3 linked regions of the Ovis aries genome follow. The protein of the gene in region 1 interacts with the protein of each later gene in a pairwise test. Links are inferred from orthologs where the notes say so. Each region holds a gene or a part of one and is shown in the gene's direction. Other genes may lie near its edges.

Region 1 (6,199 bases):
GGTGTCTCAGTCTGTCCTGAATGAGGTCTCTAGCTAGTCACAAAAAACCTGTGGTAAAGCATGCCCAGGATTGGGACCAGATTAAGCTCACAGAGGTCACAGAAGCAGCACCCTGAGCTCATGGTCCCCATTCCCACAGTCTCATCCCTAATAGACCAACAGGAAGTTAGCTTTTCAGTTCCATGTAGAAGCTCTACTACTGTCAATATTAGAGGATCATGCTTGGTAATGGTAAGCCCTCTAAATAGCGTCTCTTATGACTCATAATGAATACTGTATTAATAATGCAGCTACCTTAATCAGTTAACTTAAAATCAAAAAAAAGAAAATGTTTGTAATATTTATTCCAACTATGGCGTGAATGTAAGTTTATGACGTTTAAAGAGATAGAAAATATTAACATTGAAAAAGTTAAATGTGGTGATAATAATAAAAGTAGCTCTGTATTATTATACTCTGTACTCTAAAAGCTTTATACTATTTTTGGCTGAGACAAAAATATTTACATTAAATACAACTAATAGGAGCTAAAATTCATGGACTAAATGGAAGTGGAAGTATCAAGGTCTAGCTTTACTTTTCACTTTGCTGGTAAAATAGAAAACAGTGATCAGGTACCAGCCGTTCTACTCCTGCTACTTTTTAAAAATAAAGTCTAGATTATCCTCCCCTGCAGAACGGTTTGAATAATGTCCTTCTGTTTTTCTTCCCTTTAAACACAGAGGATTTATGGCAAATACCTGAGGGCAGAAAGCTTTCGGAAAGCTCTCATTTATCAGAAGAAATACCTGCTTCTGTTACTGGGCGGGTTCCAGGAGTGTGAGGAGGCCACCCTGGCCCTCCTGGCCCGCATGGGGGGACAGCCGGCCTTCACAGACCTGGAGGTGATCACCAACCGACCAAAGGGCTTCACCAGGTTTCGGTCAGCCGTCAGAGTGTCCATGGCGATTTCCAGGTGAGGTACTCGAGAGAAAAGGCATTGAGTAGAGAATGCATTTTCGCATTCTGAGAAACTTGGTTATTTTTCGTCCTCTCTCTCTGCTCTGCCTTCTGCGCCCTGTAGTCATCCAGTAGGAGTCACTTGCCGTCACTGAAACACGCCTCCCTCTGTGCAGGTTTTCATCCTCTAGTAAGGGAGGGGAACTTCACCTCATACCGGACAGACCCTACGGAAAGGGCCCTCCCAGAGGCAGCCAGCCAGTGACTCAGCTGGAATATCCGGTCTGGGTGGTCCCTCTCTCTTTTTTTTTTAATCTAAATAAGCCCATGAACTAGTTCAGACGTATAAAGGAAAGAGATCATAACGGAGAAAACTGTTTTTTGAAAAGTTACCTCGGCTGACATAGCTTCGTTTTCTTCACTACTACCACGGCCCCTCCAGCAGCCCAACTGTTGAAATCCCTGGCATGAGTCTGTGTTGGGCTCTGCTGGGGCATTTGCTGCTCCTTTTCTGGCCCTTCCAAGCTAGGCACTCCCACGCTCACTCTGTATGTGGCTGAAGTGGAGCCAAGAATCTGACTCCCTTGACGACCCAGCCTCCCGCCGCCCTCTCACCTGGCTGGATGCACCCAGACACCTCGATGCTTTGTCCTTGCTGCCCCTCCCTCTGCTTCTGTAGGAGGCAGACAGTCTCAAAGGACATTTTTTTTAAAGTACTATCCAATCCCATTGTATTCAGGTTACTCACAAGTACCTCAGAAGGCCACAGAGGCAGAATAAGAGGTGGTATTAGTGTTTTTGTGTCCTGGGGACCATGTGCTATCTCTCAGCTCCTCACTGCCCTTCTCAGCTGGCCTCCACACTGCCAGGACCTTACAGCCTGCAGACTGTGTCTCCCAGATGGCTTCCTGTCTGGTTCTGACATTTCTCAGCACTGGTACAAGAATTAGAGGGTTGGAGAAAGCAAAGAGCTTTCTTCCTTCCTTTCATTCCCTTCATTACCTGGTACAGCCTATACAGGGTTTAAGTGCTGGGAGGTGCGTTGACAAAGAAAAGAGACTTAATCCTTGAAGGCCAAAGGCTGCTCACTCTCTCCTGGGCAGAGCAATATGCACGGACCTCCCGGCAGTAAGTGAGAGGTCACAAGAGTTAGCTGTTCATCTCTGTTTCAAGGACTCGGGAAGGCTCCTTGAGAGCCTGTTACCGTTGAAGGACTTCACACTGTCACTGTCTTCTTCTCTTGTATGTTCGTTGTATTTTGACTGTCCTAAAAACCGAGCCTTGAAACTAGTTGGAATAAGAAATCAAAACTGGTGCTCCATGAGCTCTTAGGGACAGAATGGGGCAGGCAGCAACTTGCTACAGCTGAGTTGTGACATAGCAACCCCTGTTCCTTATGAAGCCAGCACTGTATTTCATCCCTGACTGCATGGCCTCACTCCTTTTCCTGCTTCCCCACTCGCTCTCACTGCCAACTTAAGGATCTTTCTGTTCTCCTTCCATCTCCTCTGCCCTTGGGCTCCATGCTTTTCTCCTCTTTCCATTTTTCCTCGCCCTTTCTTTGCCCGTCCAGCTCCCCTTTTCTGTTACGTTTGCTCTTCCTCTCTTTGTGTTCCGCGTTCCTCTAAAGCCAGAACATGGTCCTGGCAGCAGAAGCCCTCTGTGTCTCGCGGGAAAAGCCCTGCTCTGTTTCAGTTAGTTTCATCACAAACCAGGGGACATTTACAAAATATTAACCATGTGATTATATTGAAATTTTATCTGTATTAATATTTAAATGTATGACTTGGATTCTGTAGAAAGTGTGTGTCTATACTCTTTACACTATAGATGTTCTGTGAAATTTTCCATTGGAATCTTTTTTAGAATGAAATTTTTGGTTCGACGGTGGCATCGAGTCACAAGTTCTGGTTCCATCAATATTAACAGGGATGGCTTTGGATTGAATCCAGGTGAAGTCAAAATAGAATTTTTTCTTATGTTGATGATTTCTCTAAAATTACTGCATACCTTCCAAGTAATGTGTTCTGGGACCTGTGTTGTCCAAAGGCAGAGCCCTTATAACTAACAAAGCTGAGGACCTTGCTGTTCTGAAGAATAGTAAAAGAGCTGATTTTTATGGCACGCTTAGTTCACACTAGGCCCCACTCTTTTCCATGTATTCTCACAATTCTGTGACGTAAGCAAAATTATGGATGAAAAACTGAAGCACAGAAAGCTTTTGTCATTTGCAACAAATTACCCGGTAGGAAATGGTGGCCCTAGCAGTCGGCTCCAGAGCCCACTCTTTGTTCAGCTGCATTTTAGGTTCTGGTTTGAGATAGGATTGCTCTTACTCTATTATGTGGAAGTTTCAATTTGAAGTTTTCACAATTTAGCAATATTAAACAGGTTTCTGGGTTTACCAATAGGTGATATAAAAGTTAAAAATCCTTGTCTCTATACTCAAACACTAGGGCTTCAGCATTTCAGGCAAAAGGAGCAGATCAGAAGCTGGGGAGCACACGGAGCTATAGACACACAGCATAGCTGACATGCACTGGTAGTGAACCACCTTTTCATCTTCTGTGCAGAGGCAGAAGAAATAGGTTTGGTATTATTCTAAAAGAAGTGTTTTTGAAACATGCATCCCAGTGGCTCAGTGGTAAAGAAGCTCCCTACTAACGCAGGAGATGCGAGTTCAATCCCTGGGTCAGGAAGATCCCCTGGGAAAGGGAATGACAACCCCCTCCAGTATTCTTGCCTGGAGAATTCCATAGACAGAGCAGCCTGGAGGGCTACAGTCCATAGGGTCACAAAGAGTCAGACATGACTGAGCACGCACACATACATCCTTATACTGAAACAGCTGAAATTTAAACCGTAATGAACTCTGTGTTGTAAGTTAGTATGTCTTGGTTCCAGTTTTTTCCAATGAAAGTCAGTAGAATAGAGTGATGAAAGGACTTAATAGAACTAACAGTCTAATATTGTTCATCCACATTGCCTTTTCTCATAACACACACACTTAGACACTCCTCACTCAGAGTAAGAAAGTAAAATTTTTTCTTAGAGGTATAGTTCCAGATTATCAAATTCTGATGTTCAAAGGTAAAAAAAATACGCTATACTATTGTTTCTCTAGCAATTTATCTTGCTATTTCTGTAGCAAGAATAATTGAAAATGATTATAAATAGGAGATAGTGTAGTACAGTGCAATCTTTTGAACCTTATCTGTTTTGTAGAAATTTTTCAAGGGCTTGGTATTTTTCTTTTCTTTACAAGGTACATTTTGGATTACTTTAGGTGCAGAAAAGACTGACACATTTTATCATTCTCCTGGCGGGCTGGAGCTCTATGGAGAACCGAGACATACTGCATACCGCTCAAGATCAGATCTGGACTATCCAAGGTCTCCTTTGCCGTTTCAGAATAGGTAAGAGTTTGATAAAATCTATACCAGTGTTGTAACTGTTCAGTCACTAAGTCATGTCCAACTCTTTGTGACTTCATAGACTGTAGCACACTAGGATTCCCTGTCCTCCACTATCTCCTGGAGTTTGCTCAAACTCATGTCCATTGAATTGGTGATGCCATCCAACCACCTCATCCTCTGTCACCCCATTATCCTCCTGCACCCCCCCCCCAGTCTTTCCCAGCATCAGGGTCTTTTCCAGTGAGTCAGCTCTTTGCATCAGGTGGCCAAAGTATTGGTGCTTCAGATTCAGCATCAGTCCTAATAACAGAGAATGAAGAACACTCTTGGGTCTTTGACTTCTTTGCAATGAAATAGCTAAACATGTCGTTAGTTATATATTGTTTACATAAGCTAATGCCCAGAACCAAAAATAGTTTTTGAATTTGTAATTGGTTTCCAGGGGTAAAGGAAACAGAGCTGATCAAGCATTATTCAGTATATGTGCTGTGGCTAGACATTAAGAAAGGCATTAACTAAAATTGAGTCTCTGGAATTATGAAGAAAAATCTCTGAAGTTTGCAGGACAAGATGCACTTATACACTTGAGCCTTCATTGATGTTCTCTGCAGTAGCAGTTGTGTTGGACATTCTTTTGATGACTTAGTGACTGCTTTGAATTTATTGACAACTTTTTTCCTTAACACATGGCAGACTCAGAGGTGGGGGGATGCATATAGATTGGGGAGTATACATGTGGTCTGCCTTTTGAGGGCAGGGTGGAGGTAGGTTGGTAAGTTACTTGCATTGTTTCTGGATAATCTGGATTCATCTTCATATTTTTAATCTCATAGGTACCCAGGCCTTCCAGCTGATTTAAACCCTGGTTCCTTAGCATGTTCTCAGCTTCAGAATTATGATCCCGACAGAGCCTTGACAGATTACATCACTCGGCTAGAGGCACTGCAAAGACGACTTGGAACTGTACAGTCAGGTACCCTCAGCTTAACCAAGTATTGGCAGCACCACAGTGCTAGATAGTCCTGGAACTCTTTCTCTTTTTTAAATTCTTTGACTTTCCTCATTATTAATCAAATTTTCTAGTTCAGTGCATGAGTTATCAGGCTACACTTTAGGAATTTAAGACAAAACAGGATTTATCACCCTGGATCCCACTCTTCCCCCAAAAAAATCCCTGCTCGTCTCATTGAGAAGATTAGGTGAGATGCACGATGAGCACCGATGTGCAGATACTCTGAAGCTTCCAGAGACTGCTGGAGGGCTTGTTCCAAAGCAGTCATTTCTGAGCATGCAGATAAGGCATAGGGAGGCGAGAGGAAGACAGGGGTTCTTTAATCACTTAGTGCAGCTATAATCTTTGTTCCGACCTTGTGCTTTTATGTATGATGCGAGGAACCCATCCCAGTCCAAAGACTGTAAGGATGACCTTTTATTTGTTCTCCTCAAAAACACACAAAAAATTTCATTCTTAGAAGTGGATTGTGAGAAAAACCTCTTTCCCTCTATTCAGTTCACTCCTGATTCAAAGGTTTTCAATCATTTCAATTTAATGACCTTTAGGTCAACTTTCATACACACAGACAGACATATTATATATATATATAACTATTATTAGAGACCCTTTTTTCTGCTATTCCTACAAAATAGATAGGACTCATCACTGGTTATTTTTAATAGTTTATCTCTTCATACAAGAAATTGTCCAACTCAAACAACTTGTTGCTATAGGAAACTTATTATCATAGCTGGACTTCGTTGGTCTGAGCATCTAAATTTCACAGGATTTTGAAGAGCAAAATGTTGTATAGAACATTCAGCCCACAGGGCACTTTACAGAAAATCTT
Region 2 (6,742 bases), on another chromosome or scaffold:
AATCCATAGGCACCTGAGGACATTGAACGAAGCATTTACCCTTGCTGGATCCAGGGTGAAAGTGCAGCCAGGGGACTCTGAGCTGAATAGGAGGGAATTTAACTGGCTTCTGATGGAGGCTCCTGTCCTGACCATGATGCCTGGTCCCCTCTCCTGGGGATAGGGGGTGAATGTGTAAACTCTCCGGGTGCAGGCAGACTGCTGGCCCTGGGGTTTGTTCCCAGGGACTCCAGGGCTTTGGCAAAGTGCATTCCCACTCCTAAATCGAGGAGTCCGCACCCTCCCCGGATTGCCTCCCCAAATTCCAGGATTCTGCATTTTGTGTCTGTTCTGATCCAGCTACTCAGGCTGGATGGTTCCAAGAAGGAAGATTGGCGGCAGTGACACTTGCTTGCCATCAGCAGTCACTGGGAGGAAGCTGGAAGAAAAACTCCCCCCAGGCTGTGAGAGATGGGTAAAGGAGAGATGCCTGTATTGGGAGGGCCCAGATCCATCTTCCTAAGAAAACAGGGACACAGTCACCCTAGAGAACATTCTGTAGGAGCATTTTAAGAACCCAAGGACTCCAAACTGTGGATGGCATGCTGGACTCTGGGTCCTGGGCAGGCCTCCAGGGGTCCAGGGGCTCTGGGGACGATAAGCTGTGTATGTGAGATGATGGGGCATACCCGGGGGAGGAGACATGCCTCCCACCTCCTTCTCTCCTCTGTCAGACAGGGCTGCTGGTTTGGAGACAGTTCTGTCCCACACACCTTCCCACCATTTGCATGTGTGTGTACAGGTGTGTGCGTGAAGGTGTGCTGAGAGGAACTTTGCAGATGGAAATGCAGTCTGGGCACATCTGAGTGTAACCCTTCTGTGTGTGTAGCTGTGTATGTGTGTGAGCACGCGAAAGGAATGGCAGGAAGGGATGTGTGTGTGTGTGTGTGTGTCTGTGTATATAGCCTTTGGAAGAGGGAGCTTTGGAGATGAGTGAGTGGCAAGTGTGTTTCAGGTGGCTGGGGTGGGCTGTGATGGCAGGTGTGTGGGCCTCTGGGGAGAGGGCTATTATTAGTGGGTACTGTTATCTCAGCACTGGCTGGGGGCCACACTCTGCAACGAGACAAGCTCTAGGAAAAGACACCAGGGACATGTTTTGCTAAAAACTGTCATTTTCTTCTGGCTCAGGCTAGAGCAGCTTTCTCCTTTGCTGGGATGGCAGTAAGCGGGCAGGCCCCATCCTGTCCAGACTCAGCCCCAAGGCCATGGGCTAGTGGGACTAAGAGTTGGTGGGATCGTGTCCACTCCCAACAGGTGATTATGGGCACAAGCCCTCTGATCCTATTGCTACCAGCATGATCCACTGTGCCCGCCATGTGTCCAGTGCCATTTCACAGCCAAGCTCCATGGAGACCAGGACCTCCAAGCTGGGAGAAGCATGAAGGTGCTGAGAGCAAGGCCCTCTTCTCTGCTTCAGCCAAGCAGTGCCTTAAAAAAAAAAAAAAAAATATATATATATATATATATATATATATGTATATATATATATGTATATATATTATACGCTTCTCTGGTGGCTCAGCAGTAAAGAATTGGCCCGCAATACAGGAGACCCAGATTATTTGGGTTCAGTCCCTGGATCAGGAAGATCCCCTGAAGGAGGGCATGGCAACCCACTCCAGTATTCTTGCTGGGAAAATCCTATGGACAGAGGAGCCTGGCAGGCTACAGTCCATAGGGTCACAAAGAGTCGGACGTAACTGAGCATACACGAACCATGTATTTACGCTTGCAGTATGGTGCATCCCCCTGCCATACTTTGTTGGAAGAAAGAGTTTTGTTGGAAGAAAGAGTTCCATCGCTCAAAAGGAAAATCGGGTGAAAAGCCACTGTTGTAGGGGGATCCTTGGTGGTCTAGGCAGTGTCCTTGCACAAGGGAGACTTGGTCTGTTTGGAGAGAGAGAGCTGAGCCTGGCACCGGCAGCAGCCAGTGGCTCACTCGTGCCTCTGTGCCTTTGCCTGCGGTCACCCATGGCTCTGGGTGCAGGGCCTCGCTGCAGACCTCCTCCTCCTGGAATCCCTCCGGTCCTCAGACAGAAGCTGTCTCAGCCGCCCTCTTCCCCCGCTGTGTCCCTCCATCACCTCACGGTCCCCATCTGCCTTGTCCCGGAGCTATTTCTGGGTCTGTCTCTCTCTTCCTCCGTGTTGTGAGTTCCTGCTGGGCCAAGTCTGGCTCTGACTCATCCAAGTGTCCCCAGGACTCAGGTCAGAGCCTGGCGCTGATGAGTGTGCTGAATCGCCACGACGACTTAGCAAGAGGAGAGTCTCTGACAAGGGACCAGCTGCGTGTTGTGTGGGAATGTGTCTGCGCCAACCACCCCCCCCCCCCACCGCCACTAAGCCAAGTGTGCTCCCTGAAGACAGGAACTATCCGGAACCTTTGTGATCCAACCTACAAATGGTTAGAGGGAAGGAAGGGAGGCAAAAAGAGGGAGAAAGGAAGAAGCGGCAGGGAGGAAAAGAGGAAGGAAGAAAAGAAAGAAAAGAAGGTAAGGAAAGAGAGGGAACTAAAAGGGAGGAAGTTTTTTAAGGAGGAGAGAATGGGATTAGGGAAGGGAGGATGGATGAGTGGATGGAAGGAAGGAAAGATGGATGGGTGGGTAAAAGGATGGATGGATGGGTGGACAGACGGAAGAAGACAAGAATGGATGAATGCATTCATGCATGCAAGGGTGTGAGACCGTCATGGGCGCTGGTCAGGGAAGGCTTCAGGGACTGGACTTGGACTGAACTTGGTTGAGAGAGAGCCCAGAGTGGTGGGAGTCTCAGGTGTGCTGCGGAGGATCCATGACTTTGTCCACAAGACCATGCTCCCCCCATCCAGCATGTGGTCTTCCAGAGTCACTGACTCAGCTTCTCTCCTGCTCTAGAACGGAACCCAGGTGCCAAGGAGCTGACCAGGGGCCGAGAGAGCCTCTTTCTCAGCCAGTGGTCCCCGAGCCGGAAGGACACCTGTGGTGAGGAGGGTGGCAGTGACCCCATGGCTCTGCCGGCCAAGAAGCCTGCCTGGCAGGCTGAGAAGAACCTGCTCTATGAGGTCCTTGGGGCCACCAAGAACCCAAGCGGGCAGCTGAAACTTCGTGGCAAAGTGGAGGTGGACAGGCTGGAGCTGAAACGTAAGCTGACCCTGCCCAGATCTCTCTATGCAGGAAGAGAGTCTATGCAGGAAGGGATTTCAGAAACCCTCATAGGCCCCTGGAGTAGCTCTGTCCTCAAACGGCTGTCATCCATGGGCAGGTCACTGTCTTTCCCTAGTCCTGTAAAATGGGGAAATGGCTTTCTTCCTGTGTCACCCCTACAGGGAAGAGCTCAAGAAATCTAGCTGACTTTCAGGGGTCACATGGGCCTTATTGGTGGTTAATTTGAATATAGCCCTGACTCAGCATGTCTTATGTCCCCTCAAGTTGCCTGAGCCAAAGAAAATCCCGTGCTTTAAGATTATTTCTACATTTTGAAAAAAAAAAAAAAGATCATTTCTACATTTCGATTATTCACGTCTCAGCTTTCTCTCCCTTGTACATCTAAAACTGTTTTAGTAAAACATTCTCCCCTCAACAAAAGGTGCTAAAAAGGGGACACTGATACCCCATCTCTAACTCTTAATCCCACAGGACATATTATAGAAGGAAAGAATCCAGGATTCATATCCTGAAACAACTCCATCAAATATCATTCATTCAGACTAATTTGGGATCTTACCAAAGGGGATTATATAATATTTTTAAATATTTTTAAAAAATGACTCTGGCATAGATGCAACACCTACATAAGGTCCTCGCTGTTGCCAAGTGCATGTCCCCAGTGGGGTGCTTTAACAATTTGATAAGAATGGCTTCCCACAGCGTAGCAATTGTTTGTATCAAACTGGATTTTTCCGAAGCACTTGAAGGAATATAGTTTTGCACGTAGGTGAGACAAGCTGGTTGATTGTATCTCTTGCTAAACTGCCTCCTTACTTGTGAGTCGTGAAGGAGATGCTCCATGGCAGACCATGCTGGGCCTCTCACCCCTTCCACGTTGGCAAGATGTGAACTAACAGTGTTTTCCTTGAGCTTTGAAGAACGCTCTGGGAGCCTTAAAATACCTGACTGGTGAGAACACTAACTCTGGGGGCAGTCATGGAGCTGGGGCAGGCTGGCCTCTCCCTTCCTCAATCACGAAACGTTCTACCTCTCCTGTGACTTACAGTTAACCCACCTGTGACCGGGGCCGACAAGAACAACCTCAAGTACACGGGGAACGTGTTCACCCCACGCTTTGCCACCGCTTTGACCTCAGCAACTCTGAACCAGCCCCTCTGGCTCAACCTGAACTACGCACCTCCGCCCGTGTTCACAAACCCCTCCACCTTCCCCCAGTACCAGGTGAGTGAGCAGGTCCGGGCCCAGTTATCCGGTGGTGGCCGTCCAGGGAGGCGCTGTGGCTCACAAGGAGCCTCATTCACAAAGAGCCGTGGGCTCATTAGTTACTTTCTTCACAGGGACACCATCAGACCGACTGCCAGATACGCGTGCGCATGCATCTCACACACACACACACACACACGCACACGCACACACACACGCGCGCACACACACGCACACACACGCGCACACACACGCGCGCGCGCACACACACACACGCGCACACACACAAGCGCGCACACACACATGCACACACACGCGCATACACACGCACACACACGCACGCGCACACACACATGCACACACACACGCACACACGCACACACGCACACGCGCACACGTGCACACACACGCACACACACGCACACACACACACACGTGTGCCTGTTTCTCATTTTCCTTTGTCTGGATTCCGGCTCACTCTGTGCTGTGTCTTTCAGAGCCGCTTGGCTAATCCTGGGCTGTGAAGTACTTGGGCTCCCAGGGAAGCCTGACCGACGGCACAGTCCTCGTTTCCCACCGCCTCCTGGGGCTTGCTTTGTAGTCGGATGACACGTGGCCTGGATTACTTGGGACAGTCCCCGTTTTGGTCTTTTGTCCCAGCATAATTATTCATTGTACCCCCTTTCACTCTCAAGCGTCCCAGATGACAAATTATGTGGCCGTTTTATTTCAACTACAACCTAGCAATCTTAGCTTCTACCGGCTGAGGTGGCTTGGTACACAGTCTTGGTCTTGGACTGAGAGCTAAGAGGCGTCAGACACAAAGGGGTGGGGGAAACGCTTGCAAGGCTGACGGTTTTACTCACACAACTTATTTACTCCGGGAAAATGTAGTTTCTTTCGTTCGTCTATTTAACTTAATCTCCTGTAAGAGCTGCCACCCACTGGGTAGAGAGATGAAAAAAAAATCAAATAAATGTCCATTCTGATTTAAACCATAGTCCGAACCAAGAGCTTAAATAGTCCCTCCAGGTAGTGTTCCGTTGCTCCACGACAGGTGCTCAGCGCCTAAGATTTCTCAGTCTTCTCTCCCCTCCCTGGCTGCTTGCCAGAATGGCGTGCAGGTGTACAGAAGGGGCAGGCCCCTGGGAGCCTGCTGCCCCAGCCCAGCCTGGCCGAGCCCAGGGAGGGCAAAGAGAGAAGGAGATACAACCTGAAGATCTTCTCGTTCTGCCCCTGTGCCCCTCCCCCTTCCACTGCCCCTGGGCTCCCAGTGGCATTTCCTCCTCCTCGACTGCAGCAGGCTTAGCATCCTGCATGAGAGGTGGGTCTTCTCTACTCCATGTGAAGCCCCTCTGAGCTGGCCCGCTGGACTTAGCCCCTGATTCTTAAAACAGGAACTGAAGTAAAGGGGTTTAGCATGGTCCTTTCTCTCCAAAGTTCTCTCCACCCTCTTTCTCAAGCCCCACCTTTGAGGTGAGACGGTGTAAGGAAGCGTGATCCATGGGAAAACCCCAGGTGCATCCATCCTGAATCTACCATATGCTCTCCTGGAGAAATACCCTGTTCACATCCTCATTGGTTCACCAGCTCCTTCACTGAAGTTCCTCCACCCTTGCACATTTGTTATTGAGTCATTTATCCCCGATGTACTCATTTGTATGTATTTATTTTCTCATTTAAACAATTAAAAAAAAAAAAAAAACTCCTTGCTTCACACTGACTGCAGGCTAGGGATTCCAAGGTGACTAGGAAGCTCGGAGTCCAGTATGAGTCAGGGACAAATCCAAGGCCAGCACGGTGTGCCCCTCACCTCTGAGAGAGAAACAACTGCATAATTTTATTTAGTGTAAATTGATTCACTCTCAAATGCACTCACTCACGGGGCTCACCATGTAAAGCTAATTTGCAGTGGTTTGTTTTGTAAAGAGGCGACAGTCTCTCTGCTATGTTAACTTCTTCTGACTTGACTTTTGGCATGGGTGAGATTTGGAAGTATTCTTCTAGCAAGAAGGTCCTTTGTCTTCAGAGATGCTGGTGTTTGCATCACAGGGCTGACTCTGAGCTTCCTGGGCCTCTGGGCAGAAAGGCCCTGGCTGGTAGGGCCCCTTGCTTCTGTGCAGCACTTTAGACGCTGACTGAGCCCAGCTGAAGTCACTTGTACACGCCGACCCTCCCAAGGGGTAACAACAGACAGCGTGACTTACCTTTTCCCAGCTTCTCATGATTTCATGATACCAACCAGCTTCAACACAGCTGATCAAGGGGTCTGATATGATCAAAAGAAGCCAGGTTTTAGAATCATCAGAATTGGATTTAAGGGAATTGTGCTACTTGCGAGCTGTGTGGCCTTGGGC
Region 3 (7,485 bases), on another chromosome or scaffold:
CCAGGCCAGGCGCTGCCCGAGCCGAGCAGGCCGGAGCCGGCCCTGCGCCTTGCGGGGGGCGTCGCGCCGCGCCCGCCCCCCGCCCCGCCCCGCGCGGGGCGCACGCGCGCTCCTCTCAGCGCCCCTCCCTCCGCGCGGGGATCCCTGGCGGGCTGCGTGTGGACATGGCCAGCGACGCTGTGCAGGTAGGCGCACCTGCGTTCGCAGCCGCCCAGCGGCCAGCCGGCGCTGGGGACCCCCGCCCGCGCACCGCCGGCGCTCCCGGGATCGGGGCGGCCAGGGCGGGTCCCCACCTCCCCCGAGCGCTAGGCGCCCCCTCCCAGGGCCAGCACCGTGGAGCCAGCGCAGTCTCCTCGGCAGGTGGAGGTACGCACGGGGGAGCGTGGGGGAGCGAGGGGAGTCCTACAACATCCCCAGCTCCGCCCTTCTCTGAGAATTAGAGGGGGCGCAGCGGAGGCTCGACTTCGGGTGTCTGTGGCTAGCTGGGCATCCCGGTGCCAGTCGACCCTGCCGCTCGCTCCCTCTCCTCAGCGTTCGGTTCCCCGGCAGGTGCCGCTCCACCTGAGCAGGTGCCTGGCGCGATGCCCCGGGAAGGGCGCAGGCCATTCGCCCCGTTTCTCCCACCCTCCCCCACGCACAACAAAGCTCCGGCGGCGGCACCCCCACCTCCGGACTGAGCTTTACGATGGTCGCGACGCTGCAGATTGGCACCTGTTGGCGGAAGTGCCAGAGTCACCTCTTTAGGTCTGGGGACCAGGGACCCACACAGCCAGCCACTCGGCTGCCAGGTGGAACCTTATCCCAGGATTCCGGGTGGGGAGTGTCCATGTCAATGAACTGGGGATTCTCTTACCTGGAATCCTGCCTGGACTGGGTCACCCCACAACCCACACATCAACACACACAGAGGCACAGGTGACTGACACCGAAGTGCCACCCACCCAGGTTCTCCCTGTGCCACCTTGTGGACATCGCAGCCTGGGACTCACCTGCCCTGCCTGTGGTAAGCAGGGCCAGAATGACTGCTGAAACCTCTCTGGGTCAGTGACCCAAATCTGAGACATGTCCTGTACCTCCGGTGCCCCCACAGTGCCTCATCAGCTCTCCATCGTCCTGTGGTTGCTGTGTAACTGGGTTCTCATCTCCTTCTGCACCTGCCCCCACATCCCCTTTGTGTCTCCCCCGTGACCCCCTGTCCCCCGCCCCAGTCCTGCTGATGGCCTGCCAGCCTTGCCGAGGAGCTGGGCGTATCTGGTGTTGCCGATCACACAAGGTCAGACCTTGGGGGCTGGGGAGGGCCTGGGTCCCTGCCTCTACCCCATCAGCCCTGGGAGGACAGTGTAGGACTCCGCTGGCACATGCATGCGTTTGGCATGTAGCAGACATGGCCTGGACGGAGACTGTGATTCCTGGACCGAGGCTGGACCTGCGCCCTGGTCCCCTTTCCCGTCTCCTGCCTGCTCTCTTCCCCCTACCCCACCCCACCACCACCCTCACCCCGTCCTAGTCATTCCTCTCTCTCTCGTGGCTGCTTGGGTCTGCTACCCCTGTCCCTCTGTCTGTCCCAGTGTGTGTGCCTGTCTGTTCTGTGTCCGGCAAACGGATGTCCTGTCCGGATTCCAGAAACGCCCAATGCATTGAAATCTCCGGACATGGGGTCTAGATCCCTGGTCACTCTAGGAAGAGGGAATTTCTGAGAAGTGGACCCTCTGGACCTGGGGCAGGGGAGGTGTTTTCTGCTTCTTGGAGGGTGTTGGGGATTCCCCAAGGCCAGGCCAGGCTCCTGATTCATGGGTTCATCTCGTTGGCCCTCAGGTGACCCCTGCCCTGGATAGGAGTGAGTCATCCAAGGAAGGAGAACCCGGGAGGCCCAGCCTCCCTCTCTCCCTCCTTTGCATATTCTCATCCCTCAGCTGCTGGAGGAGGTGGGGCTGAGGGATTCTGCTCCTCCCCCCAAACCCGGACTCCCCTCATTCAAGCTGGCCCCGCTCCTGGCTGCACCGCTGCTCTGCCTGCTGGGGACAGGGTGGGGCTGGGTGGCCGGTGGGACCTGGTTGATAGCAGGTGGTAGGAGGTGACCCTGGGTGTAAATTCCAGAGCTGCCACTTCGTCACAGTGTGTCCTAGGCCCAGCGCCATTCCCTCTTTGAGCCTTGGTTTCTGCCGTCAAAATTGAAAAAAAAAAAAAAATGTAGCCAAGAGAGTTTTCACGGTGAGGAAGGACGTAGACCAGGTCAGCCCCTTGCAGGTAGGGCTGCTGTGAAATCCTTACCAGTGGTCATGGCCAGCAGCTCAGGGTGTGAGTCTGTGTCCTTTAATCCAGGGTTTCTAAAGCTCAGCACTATTGACATTTGGGGCTGAATCATTCTTGGAGGTGGAGGCTCTCGTGTTTACAGTGGAATGTCAAGCAGTTTCCATGAACTCAACCCCATAGAGCCTAGTAGCAGCCCCAGTTATGACAACCAACCCAGAATGGCTCTGGATATTGCCAGCTGCCCCCAGAAGTGAGGTGGGAGTGTTGGCAATCCCCTCCGCCATTGAGAACTGCTGCTGCCATCCCTCTGAGGCTCAGTCTCCTCACCTGTAAAGTAGGAGGGGAAATATGGCAGCTGCTCAGGATAAAATTGAGGGGTCAGTAGGATCATGGGAGTGACACTTTAGGCCTGAAGTAAATCTTCTCTGGGGGCAGCTGCCCTTGAAGTTGATCGAGAGTGAACCCTGACTTTCCTCATCTCTGAAATGGGGTCTCACCGTGGCGGCAGATAATATATGCGGGGCTCTTCCTGCCTGGCTGACAACTAGCTCTGATTCTGGGCACTCTTGTTGGAAATCTTAGTTCTGTCTCCTGCTGGCTATGAGGCTTTGGGCAAGTTAGGTCACCGCCCCAGGCCTCGGTTTCCTCATCTGGAAAACGGAGTGATAGTAGCACCTCCTGGAATGGCGTTAGTTGACCTGGTGTGCAGCTTGTAGTAACCTCCATGGTTCTTAATCATACTTGAGCTTAAGTGGAGACACTGGTACTCCAGCCCTGCAGAGCTGTCTCCTCATGATGTGGGCCTCAGGGAGGTACCGCAGGGCCGGCCGGGCCCCCAGGCCTCCAAGCTGTGGTCAGCAGCAGCAGGCAACCAAGCTGAGAAGAAGCCGGAAGTTGGGACAGGAAAGGGGCTGGCCCGCCCATGTAAGCACTTGTGGGTGTTGGTGTATATAAGTATATACAGGGGGTGGGGGGTGGGCACACACTGGCCAGCCTGTGATGCCTGTAGGTGTATAAGTGTGTTGTAGGGAAGCTATATGTGGGGAAGGCTGTTCTTCATGTCCACACTAGCGGGCCCGTGTGTGTGTGCCTGCTGCGTACACCTTGGGCATCCTCAGGACAGGGAGCAGAGGGGCCACCCCTGGGATGACCCCAGAGAAGCAGGCTCAGCCCTCGAGTGGGGGCTGAGAGGAAGGTGCTCTTGATGCCCCAGAGCCCCAGAGCTGGCCTTCGCAGGGGTTGCTGGGAGCCAGCAGGAAAGAGGAAGTAGCAGGCGAGAGGCCCTGGCAGGGCTGAGGTTCAGGAAGAGGGCGGGGCCCTCAGCCGGGGCCCAGGATGGCGGAGGCTGATCCCCCTTTGGACCCGGAGCTGGAGGTGGGGGCTGGGGTCCTTGTGGGGGAGGGGCAGCAGAAGAGGACCCCAAGTGGCACAGGCCGGAGGGGCCCTGCCCTCGGTACCGCTTGGTTTTGGACTGAGGAGAGGAGGTGGGATGCTGGCTTTGGAGTTTTCTGTTTGAAAGATGAAACTGTTTGGGGCCCTTTGAGCTTCCAGGTTGGGGGGATAGAGGAGGAAGGGAACAGTGCTCTTTTCTTTGGGGTCCCAGTTGTAGATGACAAAAGGAGGGGAGATGGCGCTTGGCCCCCGGATCTCCAAGTTAGGGGGTACAGCAGGGAACAGACAAAACCTGTCTCCAGGCCCTCCTGGTTTGGGGTTACCGCAGGGAATAGACAAGGCCTGGCCCTGGGTCCTCCTAGTTTGGGGTTACAGCAGGGAATAGATGAGGCCTGTCCCTAGGTCCTCCTAGTTCAAGGGTACAGCCAAGAGGAGAAGGAACTTGCTCTTGGAACCCCAACCTTGTGGTCTGGGGGGCATCACAGGCCTGCCCTTGATACTTCCTCATTTGGGGAGCAGCAGAAGGAAGATGAAAGCTGCCCTCAGGCCCTCCTAACGTGGGGCATAAGGGAGCAGAGATGGGGCCTGCCTTTGGGACCTCCTAGTTTAGGGGGGCAGCAGAGGGGAGAGGGGGTCTCCCCTCAGGACCTGGTCATTTGGGGGCAACAGAGGGAGACAAAGCCTGTTCTTGGGCCCCCCTAATTTGGGAGGACAGTGGAAGGAGAGCTAGGGCCTGACCTTGGGGACCCCGAGCTGTGGGGACCCAGTGATGGGGCAATGGAATCTGCCCTGCAGGATCCCACTGCATGAGGACAGTGAGGGAAGACTGAAGTGTACCTGTGGTCCTCTTGTCTGAGGTGACAGGCAAGGAGAAGGCCCTGCCCTTGGGACCTCACAGTTTGGAGGTGTCAGGAAGCAGGCACAGGGCCTTGTCTCACCTCCCAGTTTTGGGGGACTGTCGGAGGACATGGAGCAGGGCCTGTGTCAGTAGTCCCCCCCCAGGAGGAGGCCGGGCCAGGTCAGCTGAATGTGGTCTGCACTGCCAGAGCCGCTCTGGCCCCACTGACCCTGCTCCGTCCCCCGCAGAGTGAGCCACGCAGCTGGTCCCTGCTGGAGCAGCTGGGCCTGGCAGGTGCCGACCTGGCAGCCCCTGGGGTACAGCAGCAGCTGGAGCTGGAGCGGGAGCGTCTGCGGCGGGAGATCCGTAAGGAGCTGAAGCTGAAGGAGGGTGCAGAGAACCTGCGGCGAGCCACCACTGACCTGGGCCGTAACCTCGGTCCCGTGGAGCTGGTGCTGCGCGGCTCCTCACGCAGGCTTGACCTGCTGCACCAGCAGCTGCAGGAGCTGCATGCCCACGTGGTGCTGCCCGACCCCGCGGTGGGCGTGCACGGTAAGCCAGGCTTCCCTGGGCTGGGGGGTGGGGGATGCGGGACTGGGGGCCTCCACTGCCCAGGGCTCACCCACTGTGTCCCAGGGTGCGGCCGGCCAGCCCATTGCCACTGCCTCCCAGGGAGACACACTCGGTCACGGCAGCTTCCAACCTGAAAATGCAGGTGGCTGCTATCACTGCTGACAAGTGCTCAGTCGTGTCCAACTCTGTGTGACCCTGCGGACTGTGGCCCGCCAGGCTCCTCTGTCCAGTGGAATTCCCCAGGCAAGAATACTGGAGTGGATTGCCATTTCCTTCGCCAGGGCATCTTCACGACCCAGGACTGAACCTGCATCTCTTGCGTCTGCTGCATTGGCAGGCGGATTCTTTACCAGTAGTGCCACCTGGGAGGCCCCAATACAGGCAGACAAAAGGCCCAAACCAACACTCAGGGAAAGGTACACACAGTCACACCCACAGCTGGGCAACACCAAAGGCTTACACGGTATCACACCAATATCCAGACTCACAGTCACACCCACACCCGGACAACACCAAAGGGCTTACACGGTATCACACCAATATCCAGAGTCACAGTCACACCCACATCTGGACAACACCAAAGGGCTTACACGGTATCACACCAATATCCAGAGTCACAGTCACACCCACACCTGGACAACACCAAAGGGTTTACACGGTATCACACAAATATCCACAGTCACAGTCACAATCACACCCACACCTAGACAACACCTATAGGCTCCAACTGATTAAAAAATTTTTTTAATTGTGATTAAAAAAACACAACACCTGAGAGTATAACAGCGTTGTTAGTTGGCTGTTGTTACTGCTTCCGTTTAGACCCCATGTTTGTGACCCCATGGACTGCAGCCTGCTAGGCCCCTCTGTCCATGGGATTTTTCAGCAAGAAGACTGGAGTAGGTTGCCATTTCTTTCTCCAGGGTATCTTCCCAACCCAGGGATTGAACCTGCATCTCCTGCTTAACAGGCAGATTCTTTACCACTGAGCCACCAGGGAAGTCCCTTAATCACCTATATTCCAATATAAAATAAAACGTTTTGGAAAAAAACACATTACAGAAAACGTATCATTTTTAAGCATACAGCTCAGTGGTGTTGAGTATTTTCACATTTTTGTGCAAGGAATCTGCAGAACTTTTTCATCTTACAACTAAAAGATGTAACACACATCACATCAGTAGCCAGAGACCCTCACACACAGTCACGCCAGCACCCAGACTACTCTGAGGGCCCACCCTGTGGCTCAGCGGTACAGAATCTGCCTGCAGTGCAGGAGATGTGGGTTCGATCCCTGGGTCGAGAAGATCCCCCAGAGAAGGGAATGGCAACCCGCTCCAGTATTCTTGGCCTGGGAAATCTCATGGACAGAGGAGCCTGGCCGTCTACGCTCCATGGGTTGCTAAACAGTCGGACGTGACTGAGTGACTAAACAGTAGCAGCATTATTCTGTGAATACCCAGAGACGTCCATACTGCCAGCCAGTGCCCAGATAAATGCATACGCAATCACACCAACACACACACAAAACCTGAGGACTCACACACGCTCACAGCAACACCCAGAGATTCAGACACACAGAGCCGCTGCCACAGGAGTTTACCAACCCATAAACAGCCTGATACTTAACACAGTCAACTGGACAAGACCTGAGACTCAGCATCACTTAGCCCAACACCCACACACCTCTTTGGTGTGTCAATAGCTGGAGGCTAACACTATCAGACGGAGAAGGCAATGGCACCCCACTCCAGTACTCTTGCCTGGAAAATCCTATGGATGGAGGAGCCTGGTAGGCTGCAGTCCATGAGGTCGCTAAGAGTCGGACACGACTGAGCGACTTCACTTTCACTTTTCACTTTCATGCCTTGGAGAAGGCAATGGCAACCCACTCCAGTGTTCTTGCCTGGAGAATCCCAGGGACGGAGGAGCCTGGTGGGCTGCCGTCTGTGGGGTCGCACAGAGTTGGACACGACTGAAGCAACTTAGCAGCAGCAGCAACACTATTGGATCAACACTTGAAGATAATGAAAGAGTTCAGCCAACGCTCAAAACCTCATCCTGTCACAGCTGTACCCAGAGTGCCTCTGATGGTCATACCACTCTCTGGAGATTGACACAGAGCTGTCCAGAGACATACATGTCCAGCTGTTCCAGCACTCGGATGCTGTCACACCAGCGCCAGGAGATCTGAATGCTCAGTTCTGCTGACAGTTGCAGACGTGCACAGAGCCATCCCCATCACCCAGAATCTCACAGAGGCATTCTAACACCTCACATCTCACAGTTACACTGGCACCTGGGGAGACACACTCAGTTATGCCAGCACCCTGAAGGTCACAGACTTAACCACAGCCACACCCGCTGACGCCTACACAGCCTTGCACATCTTTGGGGTGTATATACCTTCTCTACAAAGGTATACACGA

Evidence for each region.
Region 2: the proteins of AKAP9 (region 1) and C1H1orf94 interact in binary tests that used the Homo sapiens proteins (3 or more experiments, as listed by UniProt). The two-hybrid records come from large-scale screens. The link is inferred for Ovis aries from reciprocal best matches to the Homo sapiens genes AKAP9 and C1orf94.
Region 3: the proteins of AKAP9 (region 1) and PKN1 interact in a two-hybrid assay, tested with the Homo sapiens proteins (2 studies listed by BioGRID). The link is inferred for Ovis aries from reciprocal best matches to the Homo sapiens genes AKAP9 and PKN1.

The regions. Positions count from the first base shown.
Region 1 is NC_056057.1:10,195,201-10,201,399, forward strand, and holds part of AKAP9 (A-kinase anchor protein 9), read left to right. Parts: intron 1-722; coding exon 723-955; intron 956-2,805; coding exon 2,806-2,891; intron 2,892-4,204; coding exon 4,205-4,355; intron 4,356-5,188; coding exon 5,189-5,375; 3' UTR 5,376-6,199. UniProt on the Homo sapiens protein: Scaffolding protein that assembles several protein kinases and phosphatases on the centrosome and Golgi apparatus. Required to maintain the integrity of the Golgi apparatus. Required for microtubule nucleation at the cis-side of the Golgi apparatus.
Region 2 is NC_056054.1:9,139,770-9,146,511, forward strand, and holds part of C1H1orf94 (uncharacterized protein C1orf94 homolog), read left to right. Parts: intron 1-2,909; coding exon 2,910-3,155; intron 3,156-4,227; coding exon 4,228-4,403; intron 4,404-6,742.
Region 3 is NC_056058.1:9,645,418-9,652,902, reverse strand, and holds the start of PKN1 (serine/threonine-protein kinase N1), read left to right. Parts: upstream 1-3,574; 5' UTR 3,575-3,588; coding exon 3,589-3,627; exon of another isoform or gene 3,628-3,737; intron 3,738-4,731; coding exon 4,732-5,035; intron 5,036-7,485. UniProt on the Homo sapiens protein: PKC-related serine/threonine-protein kinase involved in various processes such as regulation of the intermediate filaments of the actin cytoskeleton, cell migration, tumor cell invasion and transcription regulation.